Linked DNA regions of Schizosaccharomyces pombe. Changing the gene in region 1 together with any one later gene gives a genetic interaction. Each region holds a gene or a part of one and is shown on either strand. Other genes may lie near its edges. The genes, in order: vtc2 and pqr1.

Region 1 (5,329 bases):
CAAGTTACTGAAATTTTTTACGTTCTATGGTCTGCTGGCAGTTACCTAATATTTTACAGCACTTATAATGTTAATAGATTGTGATTGTTATATATTTGCATATAAATTTCACGTACACTTTAAAAGGATGTATTTTAATAACTGCTCATAATGTAAGCAAAAATTGTTGGTTTAGAAAATGTCATATAAATAAAGAGGACAAATCACATAAACTTAAAAGACTTTAAGTTAAGATTTGTAGTAGGCTGAAATGATTAGAAATAGAAGATAAACCAGGAATAGACGAAATAGAAAGCCAACAAGTAAAGTCAGTTTTAAATAGGGATAATAACCATTAAGACATGTGAATACCCAATTCCCCCGTGGATATACTTGATGCAAGCGAAGCCTATAAAACTGAGTAAAAAAAGATGCTATAAAGCGCAAATCATAATGCTGAAAGTACGGTAGTGACCAACACAAACAATGCCTTGCCGATGAAGGGGAGAGAAAAATGAATAAGTCCACAAATATACTATGTGTGATACCCCGAAGAAAAGGGCGCTGATAGGGAGGAAGCGAGTAGGTAGCTGAGCTCGGATCAAATTCTAAACGTATAGCAGAATACATCAAGTTTCCAACAGCCAAATGAAAGAGAGTCTTTATAAACCTAGGATAAGTCTTTTTAAGTGCTCGTGAAGAATCTATTTGGATCCTAGTCTGGCATTCAGGCAAGAGTAGATCTGCCAATGGGTACCATTGAGCAGAAAATACTTCTGATTCTTGAAGTCTCAACGACGGCATATAGGGAAGAATAAATACTGTGGAAGTATAAAGTTAGAAACCTAAAAAAAACCGTTTGTTAAATAAATATAATACATACCAAAGGAAGATAAAAGAAGTAACGGAAATTGACCCCAATTAGAAGTGATTACACGTTCATCCAAAGCACCAACAAAATGTGCATGCTCTTTTCGTAAATCAATACCAACTTCCTCTAATGTTTCACGGTGTGCAGTTTGAATGTCTGATTTATCAGTCAAAGAGCGTGTGCCTCCTGGCAAGGCCATATGACCAGACCATCGATCGGTGTCTCGAAATGAGCGTTGAATGAGAAGTACATAAGGAACAGAAGTAATGGGAATACATTGAGGCCATTTTGGGTTAGAAAAATCTTGGGATTCTTTAAAAGCTATTATAACAGCTACCGAAGCCCTTCTTGGAGGAGCATTTGGTGTTACTCTCGGACAATATTCAGAAAGTAATTGTAGACCGGTTAATAAGTCCAATTCCAACTCCATATATTGTAAGCTCAATTTCCAAAAGAATTATTTTGTATTCCACTTATAAAGGAGTAAATCTTATTAGTGCTGTTGCTTCAGCTCCTAATAATTAAAGAAAGAAAAAAAAGTAAAAAATGGATAAATAGAAATTTGGATAATAAAATCTATTGTAAGGATTACCTCAACGGAAGTTTACAACAATGTAGTCGGAAGTACAGATGAAGCACCCAGCATCCAATTCTAGATGATGCAAATTCGTCACTGAAGTTAGAATCGGCTTGTATCTATTCAAAAAAAAACTTTTGTTTGAAAGGAATGTAAAGCTATTTCATAGTATATTAAAACGGAAGGCTTATGTACAACACTCAATAATGGAGTGGTCACTTCGTTTTCTTTCCACTTGTTTACTAAAATTATTTGTCAATTGAGTAAGAACAGATAGATAATTGTAAAGTTTTAATTGAGTTGCAATAACATCTTTCATATTGTTGACAAAATAAGAAATACGAATATGTGGACATTGCTTAGCGATGTTTATCATATCGTTATTATAGTAATACGTAATGGAATAACAAAAATCGTTTTAACGAGATCACTTCGCTGCTCTAATTAAAAATTTAAAGGGCGCTGCGAGAAAATACTTTACTACAACACCACATCTTTTTTTTTGGATCAAGAAAGCAATGCGTTTCAGTGACAGTATAGAAGCTGGAATTTATGAACCATGGAGAGATAAATATATGAATTATCCAGAGTTAAAACATTTGCTTAAAACTGAAGAGGAAGCACCCTCATGGGGTGAGAATGATGAGTCTAAGTTTGTTTCTGTTATGGATGCCCAACTGGAAAAGGTAAGTAGCAAGCGAATATGTCTTAAATTTTGTATTACAAGGATTGTAATTAGGAGCTTAAATTAATAAGTAGCCTGAAATTATCACACATTTTATTTTGTTGCTCCTGTAGAATGCTGTTATCTAAAATTCCATGCTTGGTATAAATCCTTGTATTTTAAGAAAAATAAGCTTATCACGCTTAACGTTTGCTAACATTTTCTGTAGGTTTATGCATTTCATCTCGAAATTTTGAAAGAATTAAATGAATCAGTGGATTGGGTAAAATCTAAAGTTTCTGCTTCTCAGGAACCTGATGGTCCTCCCATTTCTAAGGAAGAAGCCATCAAGTTACTAGAACGATTGGATTCTTGTACTGAAACGGTTAAGAAGTTGGAGAAGTACACTCGTCTTAACTTAACAGGTTTCTTTAAAATCGTTAAGAAGCATGATAAGCTTTATCCCGGCTATTCTCTTCGTCCTGTGTTTCAGGTTCGTCTTCGCGCTTGTCCTTTAGGCAGTGTCCAATTTAATCCTCTTTTAGCTGAAATTTTCTCTCTTTATAATACTTTACGTGATGGTCTTTCAGCACCAAGTAACTCCGTGCAAGTGAAACCGAAGCATGAGCACAATGTTGATTACAATTCTAGTATGTATCGTCGTCGTACGTTTCGTTTTTGGGTCCATCCTGATAATGTGATGGAAGTAAAAACATACATTATGAGGCATCTTCCTGTTCTTTATTACTCTGGAAAGCAAGGATTTGACAAAGACCAAAATGGTGTATCTGGAATTTTGGATCCTATATCAACTTGCTTGTATTTAGATAATTCCAACTTTGATTTATATTCTCAAAATTTGGAACGATCAGAACAGGCTTATTCTTTGCGACTTCATTGGTATGGAAAGTTAACTCCCAAAACCGATATTATCGTTGAACGAATGGTACGTCAAGGAAGTACTCTTTCACATAGTGAAGACCGGTTCACTATCCGCGAGAAGAAGGTTAGAGAGCTTCTAAGTGGGAGATATGATTTTAGGAAGGTTGAGGATGATCACTCGACAACTGCTTCTGATCAGAAGAAGAAACTAATTGAAGATGTTGAACAGCTAATCGTTGACAATCACTTGCAGCCTGTTCTCCGTTCTGTTTACACTCGTACCGCATTTCAGATTCCAGGCGATGATGAGGTTCGTATCAATCTTGACTCAGACTGGGTTATGATTCGTGAAGACTCTTTGGACATCGAACGTCCTTGTAGAGACCCCGAAGATTGGCATCGTCACGATATTGACGATGCTGATTTCCCATATAAGCACTTAAGAAAAGGAGAGTATTCTCGTTTCCCTTATAGTGTCCTAGAAATCCGTGAATGTGTTAGATATGATGAAGACGAACCTCTTTGGATCTCTGAATTGCGTAATTCTCATTTAATTTCTGAAATTGATGGTTTTTCGAAATATGAGCATGGTGTTGCAATTCTTTTTGAAAAATACGTATCTCTTTTACCAATGTGGGTATTTTCAATGGATCAAGATATTCGAAAAGATCTTCAAGAGGTGTACTCCCATCCCGAGGGATCTGCGGGCTCTCGAAATGTTTACATTAAACGTAGGAATCAAAGAGTTTTAAAGCAGAATATGACACCCGAACCTAGTCAACCCTCACCTTTGGTCAATCGTTTAAAGGCCAATGAAATGCACCCTGTTTCAGAAGAGCCCGAAGATAATAGAGAGGTGTATCGAAATGAGCACGGAGACCATTTCAACTTCAGAAGCATACCTGGTTTGCTGAAGCCATCTACTTATGGATCGTTTAAGCATCATGGTAAAACGTTTGTTACTCCACCCCATATCAAGAAACCAGAGATTCCGCTTAGAGTCAGTGGTCCGATTAAGGTTGAGGCCAAAGTTTGGCTTGCAAATGAGCGTACGTTTTTGAAGTGGCTTCATGTCGTGGTCTTGCTTGGTTCTCTTGCTCTTGCATTATATAATAGTGCTGGAGAAAGACTTGGTCAGGCTTTTGGAGTAGTTTATACTCTTTTAGCTATTTTCATTGGGTTCTATGCTTGGAAGCTTCATGCCAAGCGTTCTCAAATGATCAAGTCCCGCAGTCCTGCGCCAATGACTGATTATTGGGGCCCATTGATTGTAGGAACAGCTTTGGCTATTTCTCTTATTGTCAACATGTCATTTGCACTTAAGGATGCTGTTTATCAAAATCTCATTGAACCTGATCGTTTGCTTGTTAAATTGTTTACTTGAGAAGTTTCGATATCATTCAACATGGGATTTTTCCAACTTTTATTACACGTTGGATTTACTATTTAAATGCAATAAATTTTTAGAAAGCTAGAAGATAACATTTCAGTAAATTCTTGATTTAGATGCAATGTGAAGTTGAAAATTGCAATAAGATTGAAAACTTCATTTAGAGCAGGGCTCTTGGGTTATTATATTGGTTAATTGGTTTGGGGATATATGTTATCGGTTTTTACTAAAATTTGCACGGGTATTGCAAGTTTTTACGTGTCGATTTACTTTTTTTGCAAGGATTAAGAAAAGCTGGATTTGACCATATATTCATTACATTACAACACTGGGGTATATTAATACTGGGATATTAACGTCGGACATCCATTATAATTTCTATGGTTTAATTAATTTAATAGCAAAGAATAAATAATCAATTATTAATTATCCGCTAAGCATTGGATCTAATTGAGTAGAGTAAAATAACTAAAAACCCCTAAAATCCGTCTGATTAGGGAACTGATGGTTATCGGTTATTAGGTATAAAAATAACAATATCTACTGTAAATAGGAGAAACGAACGTTTTTAAAAGAGAGTTATTTCACATCTGTATTAATGAATTTTTTAATACAAATGCTGACTACATGATGCTTTTCATCTTTGGGAGGATAAAAAAACAAAAAGTGAACGAAGGAAGAAAAGAGGGACTTGAGGTATATACTACTGGTTATTGGCCAGATAAAACGATGGACACCGACTTCAAGACGAAATATCCAAAAAAAAAAAGAAAGGTTTTACCGAGATGCAAATGATTGTAAACAAAAAATTCAAAACACCTAGAAAAAAATAAATAATCCAACGAAAATGAAATCCGTGGTTTTTCGAAATTTTTAAATTTGATTATTTCCCTAACCCGCCAAAAGAGAAAAAGAGAGAAAAAATCTATTTTTTGAAAGGCCAGCAGGATTATGAACGATTCGCGA
Region 2 (4,874 bases), 2.8 Mb from region 1:
GTTGTGTACGAAATCATTTGAACCCTAAATAAATTTGTGTTCTATACATGCAAACTTTAGACAGTTTGAAATCCGAAAAATCACTTTTGTAAAAAATGAATATATGAATAAATATATATATTAACATATATTGATATATGTATAATCTTAATACAGTTTACAAACTACTGTCTTCTTAATTAAGAAAACATGGTTCTCATGAAAACTTATATTGTTATTTAAGGTCTTGCTGCTATATATGCATTAGCAAAATGCACATTTCCAAAAAATGAAGTTAAAATTATCAGTTTACAAAAGACATTGAACTAAAGATCAAATTTTTCCACAACCGAATTAAAATGTAAGATTGTGTTTTTTAGAAGAAGCCAATGCGCTAATAATAATGCCATGCTTGCATTGCTTAAAAACAAACGAACTTCTTGCCTTCATGTAGCAAGGCTATTATCACGAATTTTCATGTTAATTTCGCTATGAATGCTTGGTCTTTTCTGAGTTAATCAATACTATTTAGCTAAGGTTTCGCTCATATAGAATACGAAAATTTCGCATTTATTAATGCAAATTTCCTCGATGTTTTTAATATATTGTGTTGCTAATCTGACTATATAACACTGCCTCTTCAAGGGACAAATAGTTTTAACAAAATTTGTTTACATTATTGAGTCAAGCAATTACGACCCGATGTTATAAGCATTACGCAGATTTCTTTTACAAAAGGGAGGTCTCTTTCATTTACCCCAAGCTTAGCATTACAAAATCATGTGCAAATGAGAAGACTACTTTTAGGGAAAATAAAAATCTAAACTTGATTGGAAAGCGAAAGTTTAAATCCTAAATTGTTTGAGGTTGACGTGTTAGTTTTTCACCGTAATAAGTAAATAGCATTGTATAATGAATAAAAGAAAAATTTTGATAGTTTAACAATTGCTGCTATTCATATTTTAATAGAATCTCAAAATTCATACTAATCGACTTTCTTATCCTTCTATATTCTTCAATATTTCAAACTCGTTTTAAGTCTCTCCTATAGCTTGGGATTATTCAATGAAATTGTAATTGTCGTCCTTTCCTTTACATTGTGAATACTAAAAAATTGCTTCTTCCAGAATTGTTTTATTGACTCACGGATTTGCAACATGTCCTTCTCCTCTTTTTTTTTTTTTTTTCTTTTTTTTTCTAATCTGTAAAAAAACCAAAATTTTACAATCTCGATAATCCTTTTAATGTCTATAGTCATCAAACACGTTTATCTACTTACTCAATACGATAATGTACAATAATTCCATACGAAACTTGCCCTTATCTGTTTTAGTTTTTTGTGGCACACCGTTAACTAATCGTGAATAAAATGGTTATTACAGTCATAGTCCGGTTTAATCGGATCAATCAAATATAATTAGATACCTACTTATTATCATATACATACAAAATTAAAAACAATACAAAAAAGAGGAAAACAAAGAGGCTCAACTTCTTACCGACTATCCTTTATCTCTCTTTTTTTTTTATTTTTTTTTATTTTTTCTCTTTTGGCACAGTGCTACAGAACATTTGTTCAACAACCCAACTCTGTACGTTTCACACATTGTCAGCAAATTGTTGACAATCAGCACAAGCCTCATTCTATAAAGCTAAGGAAGATTTCGTACCACTGCTGGTCTTCCAATTGCCCCTGCTTCCTTTCCTTTTACTGTAAGGCTTACCGGAAGGCCGTTTACTAATAACATTGCGAACCCGAGTGCGGTTGGGTAGTATTACCTATACCGCAAGTTCCTCCGCTCTTTTTATGACGTCAGGGGGAAATGCTTTGGTTTGCCACCTTGCGTCGTCTAACGCGGTGCAATATAAGGATGCGAAAGGACTGCAAGGATTTTCACCTGTCATGAACCAACAAGGATTTTGACGATTAGTACAGTGTTAAAACTTTTGAAATAGTATCGAAAATTCATTTACTATATGTATAAGTATTAAGGAGTTACGCATCTCTTTACAATTTTAAACACTCACGTACCTTTGGTTGAATCAAGCCAGGCAGGTCTCCGTTTGCGAACGACGGTTTCGGTTGATTCGAAACGTGGTATTAGAAAATCATTTTATTTATTTTCATTCCCATTCCATTTATCTATTCTATCTAATTTCGTCCCATTGTAGCTTGTTGTTTTATCACAAGCAGCTTTTAGGTCTTTGGGCTGTTACTTTTTTCTTCACTTCATTCCATTACTAATATATATATATTTTAATCAAAACGTACGCAATTCAACTCTGCGAAACTCTATCTTGCAAGCTTTCTTTCTCCATCTGCTTGTAATAAAGAAAATACTTAACTCCGATACTTCGATTGCAAAGGTCGGAGCACTCATTTTTATAAAAACCACAAAGCTTTCTCCTTCTTGGGCTTTGGTTTTTTATTCTGTAGTTTTACCGCCTTTCAAATATTTTGATTTCAATCTTTTGTAAAGGTTTCATCCTCTTTCATTTTCATTGAAAAAAAGTCCTTCCGATATGAAATTTGGACACGATTTTAAAAGGGCTCTCGAAAACGATATGCCCCCTGGTTGGGGCGAGGCTGCCATTCAGTACAAGGCCTTAAAAAAATGTATTAAAAGGTTCGTTTTTGAGCTGTCTTCCTTGGGTCTAAGTGCTGAGACCATCAGTAAATTGATGGCTCCGACTACCGTGGATCCCCAACAAGCTATTACGCTTAGTTACTCCCTTGGCAAAGAGGGACACATTGTTGTCCCCAAAATTATTATCAACGTAAATTTTGATAAATTGAAAACTGATAAGTTCGCTGCTTCAATGTTCAAGCAGTTGAATGCATCAAATATGATTACAACCGTCAGGAGTAATTATGCCTCAAATGTTCCTTCTACTCCTTCGGATTCTACTCAGCAGCCCCCTACCAATACGTTACCAAGTGTGTCCGCATCATCTCAGAGCGTAGAGACTTGTGAAACGGTTGATGAAGATATCGATACTCAAACTATGAGTTCTGACATGTCCGAAGTTCAAAGTATGGAAATATCGTTGAACTGTGACCACGAGTTTTTTGAAAAATTAACTTCGGAGTTGCAAAGTGTTGAAGGACTACAGCGTGAACAGCGTAAAATTCTTTTTAACGCAATTGATATCCTGAGTCATGAAATATCTCTTATAGCTTCCCCTAATTCCAAAAAGAAATACAAATCTCTTTATTGCTGGAGAAAAATTTTCGAAATTTATATGGATTCCGATATATTTATTTCTTGCAAGGAAGCTGATCAGAGTCATGAACGCACTCCCGAGCTCGCTGAGCGCCATTTGAAATGGTTTGACGATCAGGTCAGGCTAGCAAAATGTCTTCCCTCTTCCTCAAAGCATCGTGATCGTATTTTGTATGCTAAGTTTCTTGAACTTAATGAAAGTTTGTTGAAAGTTGCTTCTTTTCAGCAAATGAATAAGTTAGCCGTTACGAAGATCATGAAAAAGTTTGATAAGCGGACATCCTTAACCGCTCAACCTCTATTTTTTCAAGTTATCGAATCAGACCCTCTTCTTTTGGTCGACAATGCTTCTAAAGCTATATGCTTTTCACTCTCTTCTAAGCTATTCTCGATTATTCCTCAACTGAGGGATTTTGAATGCGCTATATGCTCTAACGTTGCTTACAAGCCGGTGAGATTAGGTTGTTCCCATGTTTTTTGTTTGCATTGCCTTATCATTCTTCAGAAACAGAAAGTTGATTTCTGTCCGTTGTGTCGTGCCAAAGAAGTTATGAAAGCCGATTCTCGCAATATTGATCACGCCTTGATGAATTTTATGAAAACATATTTCCCAAGAGAGATTAAGGAAAAGTTTGAAGAAAATGAGAACGATACGTTTACTCCTTCTTCAATTTCTGTTGTATCAGGTCAGAACAATTGTGTGATAATGTAGATAGACGACGGATTTGTTTCCGCTAAATTCCCAACCCTCTCTTAAAGGCTCAGGACTATTTTTTACTCACTATATTTGATTATCTGTTTTTTTATGTTTTCCTTGCCTAATTTGCATACTAACTTTCTATTTTTCTTTCCTCACCTAACTTTTATTGCTGTAAATAGCATTTTCGTGTGTTTCTTTGTTATAAACGTTTGCTTATAATTCTCGGTTTTTTCTTATATTTAGCTTTTTTAAATGCTTGTACATAATACTTGCTCATCACATACCATTAATCTTTACTAAACCGAACATATTTTTTAAAAATCAACATAGACAATAGACATTTATAGAATTTTAGCTTACAAAAGCTGTGTAATGTTTTAGGAAATCGTATTCGTAACTTAAATTTACCAAATTTGAACTCATTATTCATATTATTCGGAAGTTCTTGTAGTCAACCTCTGATGTATTTGTAAACTTAACGTAACTTTCAGCAACTAAACATTGATAGTCCGAAAAACAATGCTTTTATCTCAATTCCTAAGTTACCCACTTACAGTGTTTAATATGTCTCTCTTCACAGATTTTAATGAATAATTGTGCTATGGGTAGTAGTTTTTGTGTTTGGAACACTAGCAAAAGCTGTTTTTTGCTTTCTAAAACCGACTTTACCGGAGCATCAAGAAGTCCTTTGCCACGATTTCACTGAAAACTCCGAATGAACAAGATTTAAGATATTTGACAACGTTTAAATCCGAGTATTTCGCGGAGTAATTTAAGGCTGTTTACAACTATTACTAACTCAACCTAATATCGGAGTAGTTTTGAGCGTTGTACTTTTTTGTTATAAGTGGAAGTAATTATACTTCACCAGCTACTAAATATTCTAAGTGGTAATGGAATATATAGTGTCATTACTTAAAGGTCACATAGACTGAAAAAAGGAAACGTTTGGATTTTTTTGATGAATATAT

The links.
Region 2: of vtc2 (region 1) and pqr1, a mutation in one rescues a mutant of the other (synthetic rescue), as found in Schizosaccharomyces pombe (one study listed by BioGRID).

What each region holds. Positions count from the first base shown.
Region 1 is NC_003424.3:5,245,811-5,251,139, forward strand, and holds vtc2 (polyphosphate synthetase), read left to right. Parts: upstream 1-1,909; 5' UTR 1,910-1,945; coding exon 1,946-2,113; intron 2,114-2,320; coding exon 2,321-4,357; 3' UTR 4,358-4,828; downstream 4,829-5,329. Other genes in the region: SPOM_SPAC14C4.10C (Nudix family hydrolase), read right to left, coding at 229-800, 863-1,280. UniProt on the Schizosaccharomyces pombe protein: Accessory subunit of the vacuolar transporter chaperone (VTC) complex.
Region 2 is NC_003424.3:2,420,832-2,425,705, reverse strand, and holds pqr1 (ubiquitin-protein ligase E3), read left to right. Parts: upstream 1-1,879; 5' UTR 1,880-2,502; coding exon 2,503-3,915; 3' UTR 3,916-4,260; downstream 4,261-4,874. Other genes in the region: protein Rrg9, read left to right, coding at 4,865-4,874.